4 linked regions of the Daphnia pulex genome follow. The protein of the gene in region 3 purifies or fractionates together with the protein of the main gene of each other region. This does not show direct contact. Links are inferred from orthologs where the notes say so. Each region holds a gene or a part of one and is shown on either strand. Other genes may lie near its edges.

Region 1 (4,256 bases), on a different chromosome or scaffold from region 3:
TGTCTTTAATCCTTACTAAAAGGATCAGGAGCACACGGATTTTGTGATGATTCAAACAGAAATAGTGTATTTTCATACGTGATTCGTCTTTCACTGCCACCTAGGGGTAGAAAACGAAATAAAGAAGATTTTCATACGTGATTCGTCTTTCACTGCCACCTAGGGGTAGAAAACGAAATAAAGAAGAATAAAGAAAAAAGACCGAAAACAGACGAACGCAGTTCAGTGTGTTTAAGGGAACACTCGATTCTTTTTATTTTTTTATTATTATTTATAACTCTCATGTTTCCTTCTAGATTCGTAGAATGCAACTGAATCGGGAACTTTAAACTAGTGCTTCCTATAAATGATTCGCAATATATAAAGTCCCTTTCTATGAAAAGCTTATCTTAGATTGATAAGAGCAGAGTACGGGGGTCTTCGATTGTCTGCTTGATTTTGCGCAAGAAAGTCACAGCTTCCCTGCCGTCGATAAGCCGATGGTCGTAAGTCAAAGCTACGAACATCATGGGACGAATAACCACCTAAAGAAATCAATTTAAATATAATAACAACTCGTGATTGATATCTGTTTTGATGAGTCGTTAGTTATTAATTTTAGTCTATCGTACCTGGCCATTGCGTGCGACGGGACGATCAAAAATTCCATGCATGCCCAAAATAGCAGATTGCGGAGGGTTGATGATTGGGGTACCGAATAATGAGCCGAAGACTCCACCGTTGGAGATGGTAAAAGTACCTCCATCCATATCTTCTACAGCCAATGCGTTGTTCTTTGCCTTCTCACCCATTGCGGCAATAGCCTTTTCAATGTCAGCATAGTTCATAGAATCTAGATTACGTAGAACAGGCACCACCAAACCCTTCAAATTTAAAACAAAAAAATTTATTAATAATTTAACTCTTAATGCTAAACTGTAGCAGAATTACTTTTGGTGTGGCAACCGCCACAGATATGTCGATGTAATCGCGATAGACGATTTCATTTCCGTCGATGACGGCATTGACAGTAGGTTGATCAGCAAGGGCGCAAGCCGCGGCCTTGACGAAAGCTGACATGAAACCCAACTTGATTTTGTGAACTTTCAAGAAGGCGTCACCGTGTGTTTTTCTCAGCTCCATGATGTTGCTGTGAATTTAAACGAAATACGTTAATCCACCTATGGCATCAAGAGACAATGGCATACTACCTCATATCAATTTCGTTAAAAGTTGTCAACATAGCGTTGACATTTTGGGCTTCCTTCAGCCGCTGAGCAATACGCAGTCGCATGCGGTTCATTTTAACGCGTTGTTCGGTTCTTGTGCCAGTAATTTCCTTGCTATAATCTGCAGGTGGAAGACGGGCTAGGGGAACAGCCTAGAGATAAGAAAAAATTAAGAAAAAGGTTAAAATGATGGGGGAATGACATTTAATTCGTACTTGGGACGTCTGCGTAACGTTAACAGGAGCAGCAACCCGAGGTTGGATGCTTGCTGCTGGGATGGCAGAAATAGGGGTTGTTGGAGGGGATGGGCGAGGAGGAGGTGTTGATGGGATCGCACCAGAAACAGGTTGGGCGGCAGGGGTAGGCGGTGGAGGAGCAGGAGCAGCTGGTGAAGGTGTTGGAGGAGCAGCAGCAGCAGCAGCAGCGGGAGCAGCAGCTTTGGCAGCACCTCCTAGATTAAGAAACGGTTTAAATTTATTTTAAAAATGTAGAAATTTTCTGGTAGCATAATAGTTACCTGCACTCATAATAAAGAGTTTAGCTCCGGGTTGAACAGTAGCACCATCACTAACGCACAACTCAGTAATGACCCCACTGCAAGGGGCTTTAACCGGGATCGATGTTTTGTCCGTTTCAATATGGCATACTTCTTCATCTTCTTGGACTGTATCACCAACAGCTAAAGAAAACAAAAACATTCTATGAAAAACACCATAAGATCCACAGGTGCAAGTCTATCAAGTTGAAAAAAAAGGACGCAAAATGATTTGAAATCTTTGACTTGAAAATACTGAAATTAAGCTTCAAGATTGACATTTTCACTCAAAGATCATTTCTGTGCTACTAATACAGTTGTACCAATACTCTCTGGAAGAAGCATACCTTTATCCCATCTTACATCACCCTCACTGATGGAGTCTGCAAATGGTGGTACCATCACAGTTTTCGCATCTCCTAAAAAAAGTATTTTTTTATTATTATGACTATTTATTGCCATTTGGAACTAGTGAATTTCACCTAGTACTGCAGAAGTTCTGAATCCTCGACTGAAAACTGTGATTGGATTCCATTGGCACCTCACATCATTTCGCTGTTGGATGGACAGGTAGCTAGGCTCTTGAATACCAATTTCACATGTTTCCTGAGATAAAAAACAAATAAGAAGAAATATCATTAAATTAATTGTAAGATGAAAGTAACCAACAGGATGTGGCAAAATCATCCAAGGTACAAGGAACTTCATTGACACATTTTTATTTTATTATTTACTCTTATATAAACATGTATAACCTGATGTTTGAAACAAGCCGAAACTCTGAAATTGCCACGAAATACTTTTGCAATTTGCTTCGAAGAGCCTAGGGAGAGACGTAGAGCAGCCATGATTTTTCTGTTCGACTTCGGCTGATCTTGATGTTAGTTGCGAATGAAATTTGACTTTGCTGGTTAACTTTAAAAACAATATAAAAACTCTCCTTCAAAATTTTAAATTAAAATTTTAGAATTAAAAACGTTATTTTATCTTCGTGTATGAATAAACCGGGAATTAAGAATTTTATGACGAGTTTTTCAAAATAAAAGTAAAATGCAACTGTGGTTGTGCTTTTTTTCGTCTGAATTCGTTTCGTTTTCGTATTGTTACGTGATATTTCTGCTAAACAATAACAATGTTTTATGCGGCATTAGTAAACCGGTTAACCAGATTCCCATCACATATTTCGGCATTCTCATCTTTAAACAATGCTGTTCAAATGGATACCGTACAAGGATCTATAAAGATGACGGATAAGTGCGTCCAACGATTGAAGGAACTGCATAAAAAATCCCCAGAGAAAACGCTTCGGATATCGGTAGAAGGAGGAGGATGTTCGGGATTTCAGTACTTGTTTAATTTGGACACCACGGCAAATGAAGATGACTGGTTTGTACTTAAAAACTAAACTAAATCAACATAATTTTTGACAGTTTTCATTAAAACAGTGTGGTTGAAAGAGATGGTGCGAGAGTCTTTATTGACAAAGATTCCATGCAATACCTTGAAGGAGCAACAATTGATTTCCAGTCTGAGTTGATCCGCTCTGCCTTCCACATATTGAAGAACCCCAAAGCTGAAAGTGGTTGTTCATGTGGTGCTTCATTTTCTCTCAAAGTTTGATTTAAAAATCTATTCAAAGCAGTGTTTTTGTCAAATTGCTGTGTAATTAGTTGTACATAATATGGGGTGAATGTAACAACAACCAATTGCAAAATAGAGACCCAATGCAATCACCCCTTTTCACTTAGTCATGAGACCCAATTTCTTTGCTTCTAATTCATAGATCAATAAGCGCCACATCTTGACAACAAAGACCTCTGCTTCTTCATCAAGTACCTAATAAAAATAAAATTGTTAAAATAGGAATTACATTTTAGAATTTATAGAAATTAAGACCTTACCATCTGAACATCATTGATGATATTTTGTGGTTGGCTTCCTATCAATACTTTGGAACAAATGAATTCAACTAGAGTAGGCTCGGGCTCTCCGATGTACTCCACGATCTTTTTATTGACCCACGGTTTAATCCGCCGCTCCATTATCACCTATGGAGAAAATAAAACAAGAATTTAAGTGGTTATTCGACAACGCGTACTTGTTCATTGTTTACATTGTCCACTAAGCTCCACTCAACAGGATGAGCAAAGAGGGATGCTTTATCCGTTGGAATTTTCTCGATAAGACTCTTGATATTTTTTCTCTTCTCCTCTGTGTTCTTGGGCTCTTTTTCCTTTTTAGCAAGTTCATCGCCATAGTCTATTGGAAAAGAAATTAATTAAAACAGAAATGTTACGGAAAAGAAAATATCTGATTATGTTACCAAGAGGTACAAGTTTCCGTTTCTTCTTGGTCGTGTCTGTATCGTCTTCATCAGCATTGAAAACGGCTTTGATTTCCAGCTTTTTCCGCTTATTGAATACTAAACTGGGTCCCTGTGATCCTGTAATACAGAAAGAGAAACAATTAGTTATACATATGTTGGTTGGGCAATCGATGGCCAATTATCGTAC
Region 2 (4,314 bases), on a different chromosome or scaffold from region 3:
CACTAAACCCTGATAAACCGTCAGCTCATTAGCTTGGCTTTGTGCAATCTTCCCAGTTTCTCACACCCCGCCTTATTCACTTACCATGTTAACTCAAGTGTTTATTTCAATGTCACTTGAAGACTTAACTTAAAATGACGGCATGAGCTCAATTCAATTTATATTTAATTGATTTGTTGTCTCACGTGTTGCTTGTTAAATTCAAAGAATAAATTACGAGGATATTTCGTCAGCACTTTTTTATTTGTCCCCTACTATTCACAGGGTTTTTTAACAGAATAACAGTACAGATCTGAAAAATGGTAATCCAATTTGATTTTAAAACAAAAAACTTAGGATCAACTAGATTTCCTAATTCAACTAAACTACCTTACTTTTAAGATACAACATACATTCACGAAGGTTGCTTTGCTAGATATTTTTTTTTACAAAAGCATTGTGCTAGGCTTTTCAAGGTAACTCTTGAAAGCAGCCAGCCACTGGGCGCCGACTGCACCATCCACAACACGATGGTCGCTACTCAACGTCACAGTCATGACATTGGCAGCACGGAAACCTTGCTCAGCGGATGCATCAACTACCAGTCGTTTTTCAGTTCCTCCAACTGCCAGAATGCATGACTGGGGTGGGTTTATGATGGCAGTGAAATTTCGAACTCCAAACATTCCAAGGTTCGAGATGGAAAAAGTGCCGCCCTATTTAACAAAATTTGGATTAAATAGTTATTTACTTAAATCAATCTTCGATTTATTACCTGAAATTCGTGGGGCTGAAGTTTTCCATCGCGAGCTTTGCCAGCTAATGTGCGTACATCAGCACTGATAGAAGCGAGACCTTTTCTCTCAGCATTAAAGACGATAGGTGTAATAAGACCACGATCTGTGCTCACGGCTACACTAATATCCACCGTGTCATACCTATAAGCAAAAATAGTTCCTTTACTGACATGTCATAACATTTTCAACACATATGTAAAAATAATGAATAAAAATCTTGAAAAAAAGGAGAGGGGGCACCCGGGTTTGAACCGGGGACCTCTCGATCTGCAGTCGAATGCTCTACCACTGAGCTATACCCCCTATGCTATGATACAAACAAGTAGTCGGGTTATCGCTGCGCAAGTCACGTGTTCATGACACGCGACATGCGAAATAGAAAAATCTAGCATGAACCAGTTCAATGAGAGAATTGACTTACTGTCTAATGAAAGTTTCTTGCCACGATGAATTTACTTCAGGAACTTTACGGCAAGCTAGAGCAGCAGCTTTAATGACAAAATCGTTAACACTCAGCTTGGCCCCATCCTTTCCTAGTAGTGCATTAAATTCCTGACGAAGTGAAAGTACTGAATCCATGGTAACGTCCACCTAGCGTAAGAAGTTGCATCATTATTTACATTATACAATATTTCTCTATCACACAATATTTAAGAAAACCGAGTTATTACCGTCAAATAATAATGAGGGATAGATTGTTTGGACTGTAGTAAACGTTTTGCGATAACACCACGGATATTAGTTACAGGAAGATCCGTATATTTTTGTCCAGCAACTGCTTGAATAGGAGCAGCTGCAGTTGGTGGAACTGCAGCAACGGGTTTCGGAGCCACAGACAATTTATCAAGGTCTTTAGCTGTGATCGATCCTTCGAATCCTGAACCACCAGATACAGATGCCAATGAAATTCCTTTCTCGGCAGCCATTTTTTTAGCCAATGGTGACGCAAATACCCTCTCAGAAGAAGTTGCGGCGGTGGATGAGGGTACTGGAGCTAAGGATGTAACTTGTAAATAAGGTGTGCATTATGTAATGCATGAAAAATAAAATGGCATACCAGCTGTAGCAACTGATGATTGAGATGGAGTAATGATTTCTGGTTGTTGAGAAGCTGGTGGAGCAGCAACAGCAGCCCCATCGTCTTTGAAATCTTTGAAAGCTGCTACATCTTCAGCCTTTTCAACAATGATGCAAACCAATTTTCCAATTGGAACATCTTTGGAGCCAGCAGGGATCATAATTTTAGCCAAGTATCCTTCTTCTGGAGTTTCAAATCCCATAGTGGCCTTATCGGTTTCAATTTCAGCTAGAAGGTCTCCCTCATTAAGTTTGTCACCTAAAAAAATATATATACAAGCAAATGAGTGATTAAAAGAAATTTACTATTAAAGGTGTATGTATACCTTCTTGCTTTTCCCAACTAATAAGAGTTCCAGATTCCATGGTAGGAGACAATGCGGGCAGTTCAACTCTTTTATGGGAAGGAAGTGTACCACTGGCATACATCCTTACTGATGTTTTATGGAGTCCAGTTATGATAGAGACTGTTGAATACCCAGTGCTCTTGTCAACATATGTTTCTCCACGTCTAGAAAGTAAACCACCAGTAAAATGCTTGCAGACAATAATAGCAGATCGTCAATCCACTTATTTCATACATACTTTCTAAGATAATGTAATCTTTTATATATTTTGATAAAATTTAGATAAATAGTATTGATACACAATTGTATGTATGGGAAATCATAGGGAAAAAACGCTTTTGCTCCTGCTAGTTGAAAAACTATGATTACCTTGAAATATCCTTCTGAAACACAACCGTCGAAAGTTTCCTTGCAGCTCGTGTTTTCGTTGCATTTTCCAAAGTAATCTTTGCAACACAAGCCTTTCGAACTAACGATGATCGGAACATTTTCAAGGAATTATATGAGCGGAACTGGAAGTGGAAATCACGGTGTGCTCATATGAAGAAGACGAAGGCAGGTTAGAACAGCTGATTTTTTGGTAACCCAAAAAACTGCAGTCTGCAGACCACAAGTCCACAACCCTAAAAGAGCGTAATGTAGTCTGCTATACCTTTCTTCTCAGTTCTGAGAATCTTTCGAAAGAAAAACCACTTGTGTACGATTGTAGATTGTTTACTTCAATATTTTCGTTAATTTTCGCGTTTTCTATTGCGCAATTGAATCGTTTAAAGATATTTCCCTCAAATACTCAAATGGTGGATGACGAGAAACCATTTCCTTGCTCCAGTCCTGGTTGTTCTATGGTAATAATTTGTAAACAGTTTTATTTAATGTTGACTGTTGGTGTTTTGCTATCTTATTCATTCATCGTTTTCGCAATTAAAGAGGTTCGCCAATGAAGACCACTTGAGTATTCATAAAAAGAGACACATGTCCCTTTCAATTGAATCAATTAGTAATAATGGCTCAAAGACACCTAATTTTGTGGGTGAGTTGATTTTTTTATGTCTAACTCTGTACTTCATTAATACAAATGAAATGTAAATTTTTGTGTTAATAAATTCTGTTACCCTTCCTTTGTATTAATCTAATTTTTAACTATTATAGCTGATGAAACCCCCACCCCAACAAGATTTATTAGAAACTGTGAAGAAGTTGGGCTTTTTCAAGATTTGAATGTCAATCCTTTTGATGGTAAAATGCCACTATTAACTACAGAAAACTTGTCAAAAATAGTTCAATTTGTTTTTTTTAGAGCAATTTAGAAGAGCAGCTGAGACTCATCTCAGTCCTCCTTCACTTCCCACATCAGATGATGTTCTCCACACTCCTCATGTCTTCCCTGTGCTTCCACTGGATTCAGATGTAGTTACACAGTTGCCTCCTCCCAAATCAGCTAATGTTAGAAAAAATTACCTCATGCCATCATTGTCCACATCAGAATGTCTGACTCTTCCATCTCCAGCAACAACTCCTGTACCAACTCCATTGATTACTGTAACAGCTCCTACAACCGAGTCCCAAGGATTTTTCAACAAAAGAGTAGATACAACGACCGCCACATTATCTGATTGCGGCAAAACAATTTCCACTTCAATAATTACCTGCAGTTCAAGAAAAGATCGACCGAAGAAAAACAACACTTTTCAAAGCAATTGCACAAAGACAGCCACAAACCCAACTGTGAATATTATGCCTCGTCCGATTGTTCAATCATCTGCCACCAGTGATCCTATGACATCGCTTCTGCTACGTCTTCCTGATGGACGTTTAGTTCAAATTCCTGCTATTCCTGTACCTACCGAAACTGACGCATCTAAAATAGTGAATCCTGCTGTAGGATCTCCATTGGCTCCTGTTGGCGTGGAACAAAGTAGTTGCAAAATTAAGTCAGCAAGACCAGTAATGTCGGAAGCCAAATTGGTACCAACAAAAATAATTTCTTTATCAATATCCTTTACTCTTCTCAACAATATTTTTAATTGATAGAAACTGAAACAAGCGCTAACGAAAGCTAAACCTGCAAATCAGCCTTTAAACGGAAATTCCCCTTGTGGCACCAGCGATGCAAG
Region 3 (4,252 bases):
CTTAGAAAATCCAGGTAATTGAAACATCTTATTCTCCATGTTTCTTATAGCATTTGATTTAATATTTTGGCTTTTGCTACTGTTTGTTTAGCAATGTTTGCTGGATTCTCCGAAACTCCCATCGAGTGCATCAAAGACTGGATGAAGCTTTCTTTAGAAACTGGTATCTCCTTCACTCACTTTCATCATCATCTCATCTACATGTGCGAGAAAAATATGTCACGAGTCGACAGGAGATATTTTAATGCGCTGTCCAGTACCACTGCCGTGATCGACTATATGGAAAATTACTTGTCTTTATGTGAATAAAGAATGATTTCGGTTGAATTTTATGTTAGGCGTTTATATTTAAGCTTGTTTCTTTTTTTACACACATACAACCTCATACAAGGACTGCAGTTAAAGAATGGGGGAATCCATAGAATTATCTATATTATAATCTAAGCTTGCTAACGCTTATGAGAAATTGATGGCTTTGCCGGAGAAAGCTGCGAGACTGGCTTCCCTCAGTGCTTCCGAGCAGGTCTGTAAATGAGAAAAACGAAGTTAGACGAAAATATTTTCTTGGACAATAATTCAAATTATTAGTATACCGGATGGGCGTGGCAAACGCGGGCAATGTCTTCGCAGGAAGCACCATATTCCATGGCTAATGCGGCTTCGTTGATCATTTCGCCGGCACCCTGAATAATATCATCAAATGTAATTTATTACAATTTAAATGACATGGTAGAAACAAAAGATAACGTACGGGTCCAATTATGTGAGCTCCAAGAAGGCGATCAGTAGTCTTGTCTCCTAAGATTTTAACCATACCATCGGTATCATCGTTTGTCTTGGCGCGGCTGTTGGCGGCGAAGGGGAATTTACCAATTTTGTATTCAACTCCCTAAATTCAATAAAGCATGATAAGTTAAAAAAGGGTATAAATATTAGGAAATTACCATTGATTTCAAGTCCTCTTCGGATTTTCCAACCCAAGCAACTTCAGGGTGTGTGTAAATGACGGAAGGTACGCAGTTGTAGTCGATGTGAACGGATCCTCCTGCAATTCCTTCGACACAGATAATGCCTTCATCTTCAGCTTTGTGGGCCAGCATGGGGCCGAGAATGCAATCACCAATGGCGTAGATGCTACCGAGTTTAACACATTTCATGTAGTACAGAACACACTATACCGAGACGTTTAAGTAAGGTGATACTCACTTGGGGACAACGGACTGGAAACGTGAATTGACCGGAATTCTTCCTCTCTGGTCGAGTTCGATGGACATTTCTTCAAGACCTAAACTCTTCGTGAAGGGACGGCGACCAACACAAACCAGTAGAACGTCGCAATCCATCTGAATTATCAGGCATATGATAAAATTAGAACGGTATGTCCATGGATAGGGGAGAGGTGTTGTTTAGTACCTCTTCTTTCTTGGCAGATTTGACATTTTCGACGTTCACAATGATTTTTCCGCCGGATTTTTGTGCTCCCAACACTTTGGTTCCCAATTTAAATTGCATGTGTTGTTTGGTGAGGATTCTTTGGAACGATTTTGCCATTTCTTGATCAATACCCAAACCACCGATTTGATTCATAAATTCAACAGCCGTCACCTTGGCTCCAAGTCGAGACCACACTGATCCCTATAATTATTTAATTAATTAAGAATTTTTTTTTTTTTTAAATATTATTTTTTTAAAGCTTTTTTATGTCAAATAAAGTAAATGTTACCAATTCCAAACCAATGACTCCTGCTCCGATGACAATCATTTTCTCTGGAACGGTTTTTAAACAAAGTGCGCCAGTAGACGAGACAATTTGTTCTTCATCGATATCGATTCCGGGGAATGGTGTCACTTCTGATCCCGTTGCGATCAAAATATTCTTGGTTCGGACGATTTCCTACCGAGATGAAAACAAAATAGAATTTTCCATGAAATACACAGTTAATATTATTAATTAATACCTGGGTTCCATCTTCTTTAAGAGCAGTAACTTCATTCGCACCAGTAATTTTACCATGTCCTCTGATGTGTGTCACTTTGTTGCTCTTGAATAAATGAGCAATTCCTCCAGTTAAAGATTTCACAGCTGTTTCTTTTGCTTTCATCATTTGAGGAAGGTTCAATGAAAGGCCAGTAACTAGAGAAAAGTATTGATTTAATTCAGTTCACATTATAAATCTTAAAATAATTAATCACCATCAATTCCTCTATTTTTGAATTCACTTTGGGCCATGTGATAGTAGTGAGAATTATTCAATAGTGCTTTGGAAGGAATGCAGCCAACATTAAGGCAAGTGCCTCCAAGGGTTGCATTTTTCTCTACACAGACTGTTTTCATTCCCAGCTGGGCAGCCTTGATAGCTGCCACATAACCACCAGGGCCCGAGCCAATGACCACCAGATCAGCTTCAGTACTGTCAGAGTACCATCTGCAGTTAGCTAATTGGTTCCTGACAGCTGCAGTGACCTGTAACCAAGAAAAGATATTACATAATAAGTTTATTCTTTTTAATAGCTACACCAGATTAAAGAAAAAAGAAGGCTCAACATGTCTTGGTCCCCAATAAACAGTTAAAATACGTTGAATCGCATTAGTACGGTGACGAAATACTTTTTAAATTTTTATAATAGATAATTTTTTGAATGCAATGGAAATACCTTAAGATTTTGAGGCAATTTACTCAAAATATTAACTTGCATTTTTATTTTAGTTCTTCACGATTTCACGAGCTTTTTCCCAGCGGTCAGAAGTTGTTCAGCTGTTCAGCGACACTATCACCATCTGTACTAGAAAGGGTGAACTATGTTAAAACTTACAAATTGTTTTTCTTTCCACCAGGAGATGGAAACGTGTTTTCCAGACTATTTGAGAACGTTCTCGATTCATAACAAACGGATACATACACTCGCTGGGGCTCATTTTCTCGCTATTTGAAGCTGTGACTTGTACGAGTCGATTAAGTCGAGAAATCTACTCTTGCGAACAACTAGTGTTCCAATAAAACAAACGTTTTATCATTTAAGTGTTTCGAGTCCAAGCTCTACTATTCTGTAATACAGAAAGGTAATAATCAAACGTTTTAACTAGTACGTATTGGTGGTGGGTTAAATTGTGTCACAGTCCAAACTTAGAAGTCGACGTCATCGACGACCCTGAATCGTTGACCTTCTTTGGGCATCACGCATCACACCGTTTTGTTACTCTCCCTCTTTTCCTTAAGAATTTCCTACTTAGATTATTTTAAACATATTGAGTTTTTTAAAATTCAGTTATCCCCAAGCAAAATCCAATTACCCTCCATTAATCAAGTTCTCTTTTGTTTAGTTTTCACTTTCCAATACATTCTAGGCTTCCTTCATGAAAATGGGAAAAGATTATTACAAAATTCTTGGAATATCAAAATCAGCTACTGATGATGAAATCAAGAAGGCATACCGTAAACTGGCATTGAAATACCACCCTGATAAAAATAAAGCACCAGGTGCAGAAGACAAATTTAAGGAGGTAGCAGAAGCATATGAAGTTTTAAGTGACAAAAAGAAGAGAGATGTCTTTGATCAGTATGGAGAAGAAGGATTAAAGGTAAGAAAATGAACTATTCTCCTATTAAATGACTTAAGTTTTTACATCATATTTGTACTTAAAAAGGGTGGATTGGGAAGTGGTGGTGGCGGCGGAGGAGGAGGCGGCGGCGGTCCGGGTGCCAGCTTTTCCTACGCCTATCATGGTGATCCAAGGGCCACGTTTGCTCAATTTTTCGGTTCATCCAACCCTTTTGAATCCTTCTTCACAATGGGTGGAATGGGTCAACAGCAGCAAGGTGGAAACAGAGGATTCTTTCCAGAAGGTGGTGAAGACATGGACGTGGATGACCCTTTTATCAACTTGGGATTTGGAGGAAGAAATCCCGGGGGAGCTTTCCGATCTCAGAGTTTCAACATGCACGGGCCAGGAATGGGAAAAGAGAAAGTACAAGATCCGCCCATTGAATACGACCTTAACGTCACATTAGAAGAAGTTCTTAAAGGTAAATTTATTTTGTAATACTCAGTTCTTGGATTTGTGATTTACTTTGCTGGCTATTTTTAGGATGTACCAAAAAGATGAAAATCTCCCGCAAAGTTTACCAGGCAGATGGCACGTCTAAAAAAGAAGACAAAGTATTAACCATAAACGTCAAGCCAGGCTGGAAAGCAGGAACAAAAATCACGTTCCAGCGAGAAGGGGACCAGACGCCCAACAAGATACCCGCAG
Region 4 (3,555 bases), on a different chromosome or scaffold from region 3:
CTTTAGCGACTGACTAATTATTCTAATTATTATTTCGTCATTTAGGTTCGTCAAGTTGTACGATCTCTTCGTGGACGTGGGTTGCAACAACCTTCATTCTAATCGGATGGACGGCGATCAACAGTGTTGTAATAAACGTCAAAGCCACTACTACCTTTAACACGGCGAGGCGGAGATCTACTTGGTGAATGTCGATTGCAAATGATTCAATTCTTCTGCGTTTGTTTTCTTTTGACGTTCAAATGTGAAATGGTCGGAATGTCTGTTTGTTCGGACGAGTCTCATTGTTGCAATATAATATATGTCTGTGGTTATTTATCTCCTGTACAGATCTGTATCGCATCCATTCCAAACTGTGTGTCACTTTTTCTTCGTTTTACTCCTCCCGTGTAAATTGTATGTTCTATTCCATGGTTCTATATATCTTCTCTCAAACTTTCCAATTTCCCTTGTTCCTCAATGAAATGAGCACGAAATACTAAATAATTTCACCTATATATAAAACGAAGCCGTCGACGACAAAACGTAAAAACTTCTAACTATACTCGTTTTTTAAACACAACAAACCAATTACGACAGTTGACAACTCGACCTTTCCCGAGTTGTTTCATCAGACGGCTATCCATCAAGATTGACACATCGGCACTAGAACAAAGACGAAAGCGGAAAAGTATAATACAATATCTAGGAAATTTTACATTTTAGTCTTGTTTCACTGGTGTGTAGTGTGCTTAATTTAATCCAGATATTAAAGAATACCAAAAACTAGGGGTACATTATATTCCAAAGATGCTAGGTCAGGCACTTTTCCACAATAATGGCGATAAATCAAAGCGTCAAAATCAAATCTAATAATAATTGATGGGCACAATCACTTCCGATCACTTCCAATCCAATAGCTCAAACGGTAATTATAATGCTTCCGTTTGCCTCATATCCAACCAATGGGATTAGTTGCTAACCGTTTTTGCGGAAATCAACTGAATCCAGCACTCGCCGGAGCCGGAATAAGAGGTTTTGTTTCACAGGAAGTGCTGCAACATAAACTTAGACTTATGTGGTCGTACTTTTAATGTGTAATACAAAAGCATACATAGGCCTAAATAAGAACAAATATGCAGCTTTTATGTTCAAAATGACAAAAAAAAAATGAAAATATTCAATGTGCTTGATGTCGTGTCTGCGCTACTTGGTTGCGCATGCTGAAGCGCCTTTTCCTCCACCTACCGGTTATGTGAAAAACTATGCGTTCTATTAATAAGTCGATCACGATCAGCTGATCACGCCTTTCTGTATAAAGCACACGACCGGCTATGGCGGCTCCTCTTGCGAAATCCACAATGATGTTAAAGGTAAAAGTAGCTTGCATAATCATATCTGCTATTATTATTACTGTTTTTATTCATTTTCATACTCATTTCCCGAAACAGAATGCTTTTAAATATGTTGGACTACGAGGAATATCCACTTCTCGTCCAGCCTCTGCACAGGTATGGACGGTAATAGCAGGTTGCTTGAATGCTAAAGGCTCATATTTCATTTTAGCTTACAGTGAGAGATGCCCTCAACTCCGCCATTGATGAAGAAATGGAAAGGGATGAGCGAGTTTTCATTCTGGGTGAAGAAGTTGCTCAGTATGATGGAGCCTACAAGATTTCTAGGGGCTTGTGGAAAAAGTATGGCGATAAACGTGTCATTGATACCCCCATCACTGAGATGGGCTTTGCTGGTATTGCCACAGGTGCTGCTATGGTAAGTTTGAAGTGTAACAAGTTTTACTGACTAAATATTTTCAACTTTCCTTCCAACTATCCTCAGGGAGGACTACGACCTATTTGTGAATTCATGACATGGAACTTTTCGATGCAAGCAATTGATCATGTAATTAACTCAGCTGCTAAAACCTTCTAGTATGGATGCTTACTTCAATTTTTCCTCAAATATTGGAATCTTAATTATTTTATTCATTCTTCCATTTATTTAAGTATGTCAGCTGGATTAGTCAATGTACCCATTGTCTTCAGAGGACCTAATGGAGCTGCAGCTGGAGTTGCTGCCCAGCACTCACAGTGCTTTGGTGCATGGTATAGCCACTGTCCTGGCCTGAAGGTAGTCAACAATTCTTTATTTAACTGTGGTTCTATAATTATAACAGCTTCACTCCCTGGGGGTGATGTTTTAGGTTGTAGCTCCCTATTCCGCGGAAGATGCCAAAGGTTTGCTGAAAGCTGCAATTCGTGATCCTGACCCTGTCGTATGTCTAGAAAACGAAATTATGTACGGAACTGCTTTTGACGTTTCTGACGAGGTTTTGTCAAAGGACTTCATTGTGCCCATTGGCAAAGCTAAAATCGAGCGTGTTGGTAATACGTGAAATATTCTTAGACAAAAACAAATTTCTTTGTCTTATCTTAACTTGTTTTCTTAAACTAGGTAAGCACATAACTTTGGTAGCCTTCTCTCGAGCAGTTGCTACGTGTTTAGATGCCGCAAAGGAGTTAAGTGCCATTGGCATTGAAGCCGAGGTGGTCAATCTCCGAAGTCTACGACCATTAGATTTTGATACCGTCATGGAATCGGTGAAAAAGACAAATCACTTGGTGTCAGTAGAGCACGGCTGGCCACAGTCAGGTGTAGGCGCTGAAATTGTTTCTCGAATGGTTGAAGGTAATTAAATAAGATTTCTCCAGTCTGCATTCGGTTTCATATATCTGTGTTATTGCGAATTTCAAGGCCCAGGATTTTACTATCTCGATGCCCCACCCGTCCGTGTGACCGGCGCTGATATCCCTATGCCCTACGCCAAGACTCTCGAAGATAATTCTCTTCCTCAAGGAAAAGATGTGGTCCGAGTTGTTAAGAAAATTCTGAACGTGCAATAGTTGGACTAAGTTCGACACACCAGTGAGACAAGACCAACATCAAAAATTTCCTAGATCTTGTATACTATCTTTCTCTCTCATTCTTTTCTCGTGCCGATGTGTAAATCTTCATGGGTAGTCTAAAGAAGCATCAACTCGGAAATTTCGAGTTGTTAACTGTAATTGTTGTCTTTTAATTGGTAGTTAACGTAACTTATAACTACATATTTGATTCCTGCCTGTTATAATGGTGACTCATTTTAGTTATTTTGGCTTAAGGGAATAGGCAACGTTTCATCTAATTGTTACAAAATCAATTCAAATCTTGTGACTTCTCCACTCGCCAGGGTTCCATCACTTAAAAAAAAAATTAAGAACAAAGAAATCTGGAAAATCGTGATACCTGAGACATTGTAAGAGTATAGTACCTGAACGATTTAGTAGTAACAGCTTTGCAAAATTCTAGTCGACTAATTCAAGTCCAGTTGCCATGGGACATAATTGTCTGGATTCAAAAGCTTGTTCTCGTGAAGGAAAAATCGCAATCAAGGGTCATGGCTCATATGGAATATAAATGCTTTGTAAGGACCACGCAAGACCTTTGAATGAGATTTCATTCGTGCAAAAACCGGATTGAAATTTTAAATTTTCATATCCATTTTTTAATTAATGAATAGTGTATACTGCATAGTGA

Evidence for each region.
Region 1: the proteins of dihydrolipoyl dehydrogenase, mitochondrial-like (region 3) and dihydrolipoyllysine-residue succinyltransferase component of 2-oxoglutarate dehydrogenase complex, mitochondrial-like purify together in Homo sapiens (affinity purification with mass spectrometry; 3 studies listed by BioGRID and IntAct, counting the BioPlex papers as one, with this or other methods). This does not show direct contact. The link is inferred for Daphnia pulex from reciprocal best matches to the Homo sapiens genes DLD and DLST.
Region 2: the proteins of dihydrolipoyl dehydrogenase, mitochondrial-like (region 3) and dihydrolipoyllysine-residue acetyltransferase component of pyruvate dehydrogenase complex, mitochondrial-like purify together in Homo sapiens (affinity purification with mass spectrometry; 4 studies listed by BioGRID and IntAct, counting the BioPlex papers as one, with this or other methods). This does not show direct contact. The link is inferred for Daphnia pulex from reciprocal best matches to the Homo sapiens genes DLD and DLAT.
Region 4: the proteins of dihydrolipoyl dehydrogenase, mitochondrial-like (region 3) and pyruvate dehydrogenase E1 component subunit beta, mitochondrial-like purify together in Homo sapiens (affinity purification with mass spectrometry; 3 studies listed by BioGRID and IntAct, counting the BioPlex papers as one, with this or other methods). This does not show direct contact. The link is inferred for Daphnia pulex from reciprocal best matches to the Homo sapiens genes DLD and PDHB.

Annotation. Positions count from the first base shown.
Region 1 is NC_060017.1:2,842,801-2,847,056, reverse strand, and holds dihydrolipoyllysine-residue succinyltransferase component of 2-oxoglutarate dehydrogenase complex, mitochondrial-like, read right to left. Parts: upstream 2,815-4,256; 5' UTR 2,592-2,814; coding exon 2,499-2,591; intron 2,350-2,498; coding exon 2,226-2,349; intron 2,163-2,225; coding exon 2,091-2,162; intron 1,888-2,090; coding exon 1,726-1,887; intron 1,660-1,725; coding exon 1,424-1,659; intron 1,361-1,423; coding exon 1,191-1,360; intron 1,130-1,190; coding exon 931-1,129; intron 864-930; coding exon 612-863; intron 525-611; coding exon 390-524; 3' UTR 45-389; downstream 1-44. Other genes in the region: iron-sulfur cluster assembly 2 homolog, mitochondrial-like, read left to right, coding at 2,876-3,129, 3,189-3,363; RNA-binding protein 25-like, read right to left, coding at 3,484-3,579, 3,645-3,791, 3,857-4,002, 4,067-4,186. UniProt on the Homo sapiens protein: Dihydrolipoamide succinyltransferase (E2) component of the 2-oxoglutarate dehydrogenase complex. The 2-oxoglutarate dehydrogenase complex catalyzes the overall conversion of 2-oxoglutarate to succinyl-CoA and CO(2).
Region 2 is NC_060017.1:7,713,914-7,718,227, reverse strand, and holds dihydrolipoyllysine-residue acetyltransferase component of pyruvate dehydrogenase complex, mitochondrial-like, read right to left. Parts: upstream 2,841-4,314; 5' UTR 2,689-2,840; coding exon 2,570-2,688; intron 2,365-2,569; coding exon 2,180-2,364; intron 2,113-2,179; coding exon 1,834-2,112; intron 1,771-1,833; coding exon 1,448-1,770; intron 1,368-1,447; coding exon 1,198-1,367; intron 1,080-1,197; exon of another isoform or gene 1,008-1,079; intron 918-1,007; coding exon 755-917; intron 696-754; coding exon 426-695; 3' UTR 225-425; downstream 1-224. Other genes in the region: cyclic AMP-responsive element-binding protein 5-like, read left to right, coding at 2,995-3,045, 3,128-3,230, 3,350-3,436, 3,498-4,165, 4,232-4,314.
Region 3 is NC_060019.1:6,199,967-6,204,218, reverse strand, and holds dihydrolipoyl dehydrogenase, mitochondrial-like, read right to left. Parts: upstream 2,803-4,252; 5' UTR 2,698-2,802; coding exon 2,656-2,697; intron 2,465-2,655; coding exon 2,194-2,464; intron 2,135-2,193; coding exon 1,959-2,134; intron 1,895-1,958; coding exon 1,724-1,894; intron 1,636-1,723; coding exon 1,414-1,635; intron 1,344-1,413; coding exon 1,207-1,343; intron 1,135-1,206; coding exon 945-1,134; intron 890-944; coding exon 752-889; intron 684-751; coding exon 594-683; intron 526-593; coding exon 457-525; 3' UTR 328-456; downstream 1-327. Other genes in the region: tRNA-dihydrouridine(20a/20b) synthase [NAD(P)+]-like, read left to right, coding at 1-14, 92-309; dnaJ protein homolog 1-like, read left to right, coding at 3,356-3,580, 3,647-4,025, 4,088-4,252. UniProt on the Homo sapiens protein: Lipoamide dehydrogenase is a component of the glycine cleavage system as well as an E3 component of three alpha-ketoacid dehydrogenase complexes (pyruvate-, alpha-ketoglutarate-, and branched-chain amino acid-dehydrogenase complex).
Region 4 is NC_060026.1:4,317,857-4,321,411, reverse strand, and holds pyruvate dehydrogenase E1 component subunit beta, mitochondrial-like, read left to right. Parts: upstream 1-1,218; 5' UTR 1,219-1,313; coding exon 1,314-1,352; intron 1,353-1,430; coding exon 1,431-1,490; intron 1,491-1,545; coding exon 1,546-1,752; intron 1,753-1,818; coding exon 1,819-1,910; intron 1,911-1,985; coding exon 1,986-2,109; intron 2,110-2,182; coding exon 2,183-2,363; intron 2,364-2,433; coding exon 2,434-2,667; intron 2,668-2,733; coding exon 2,734-2,882; 3' UTR 2,883-3,044; downstream 3,045-3,555. Other genes in the region: neurotrimin-like, read left to right, coding at 46-188. UniProt on the Homo sapiens protein: The pyruvate dehydrogenase complex catalyzes the overall conversion of pyruvate to acetyl-CoA and CO(2), and thereby links the glycolytic pathway to the tricarboxylic cycle.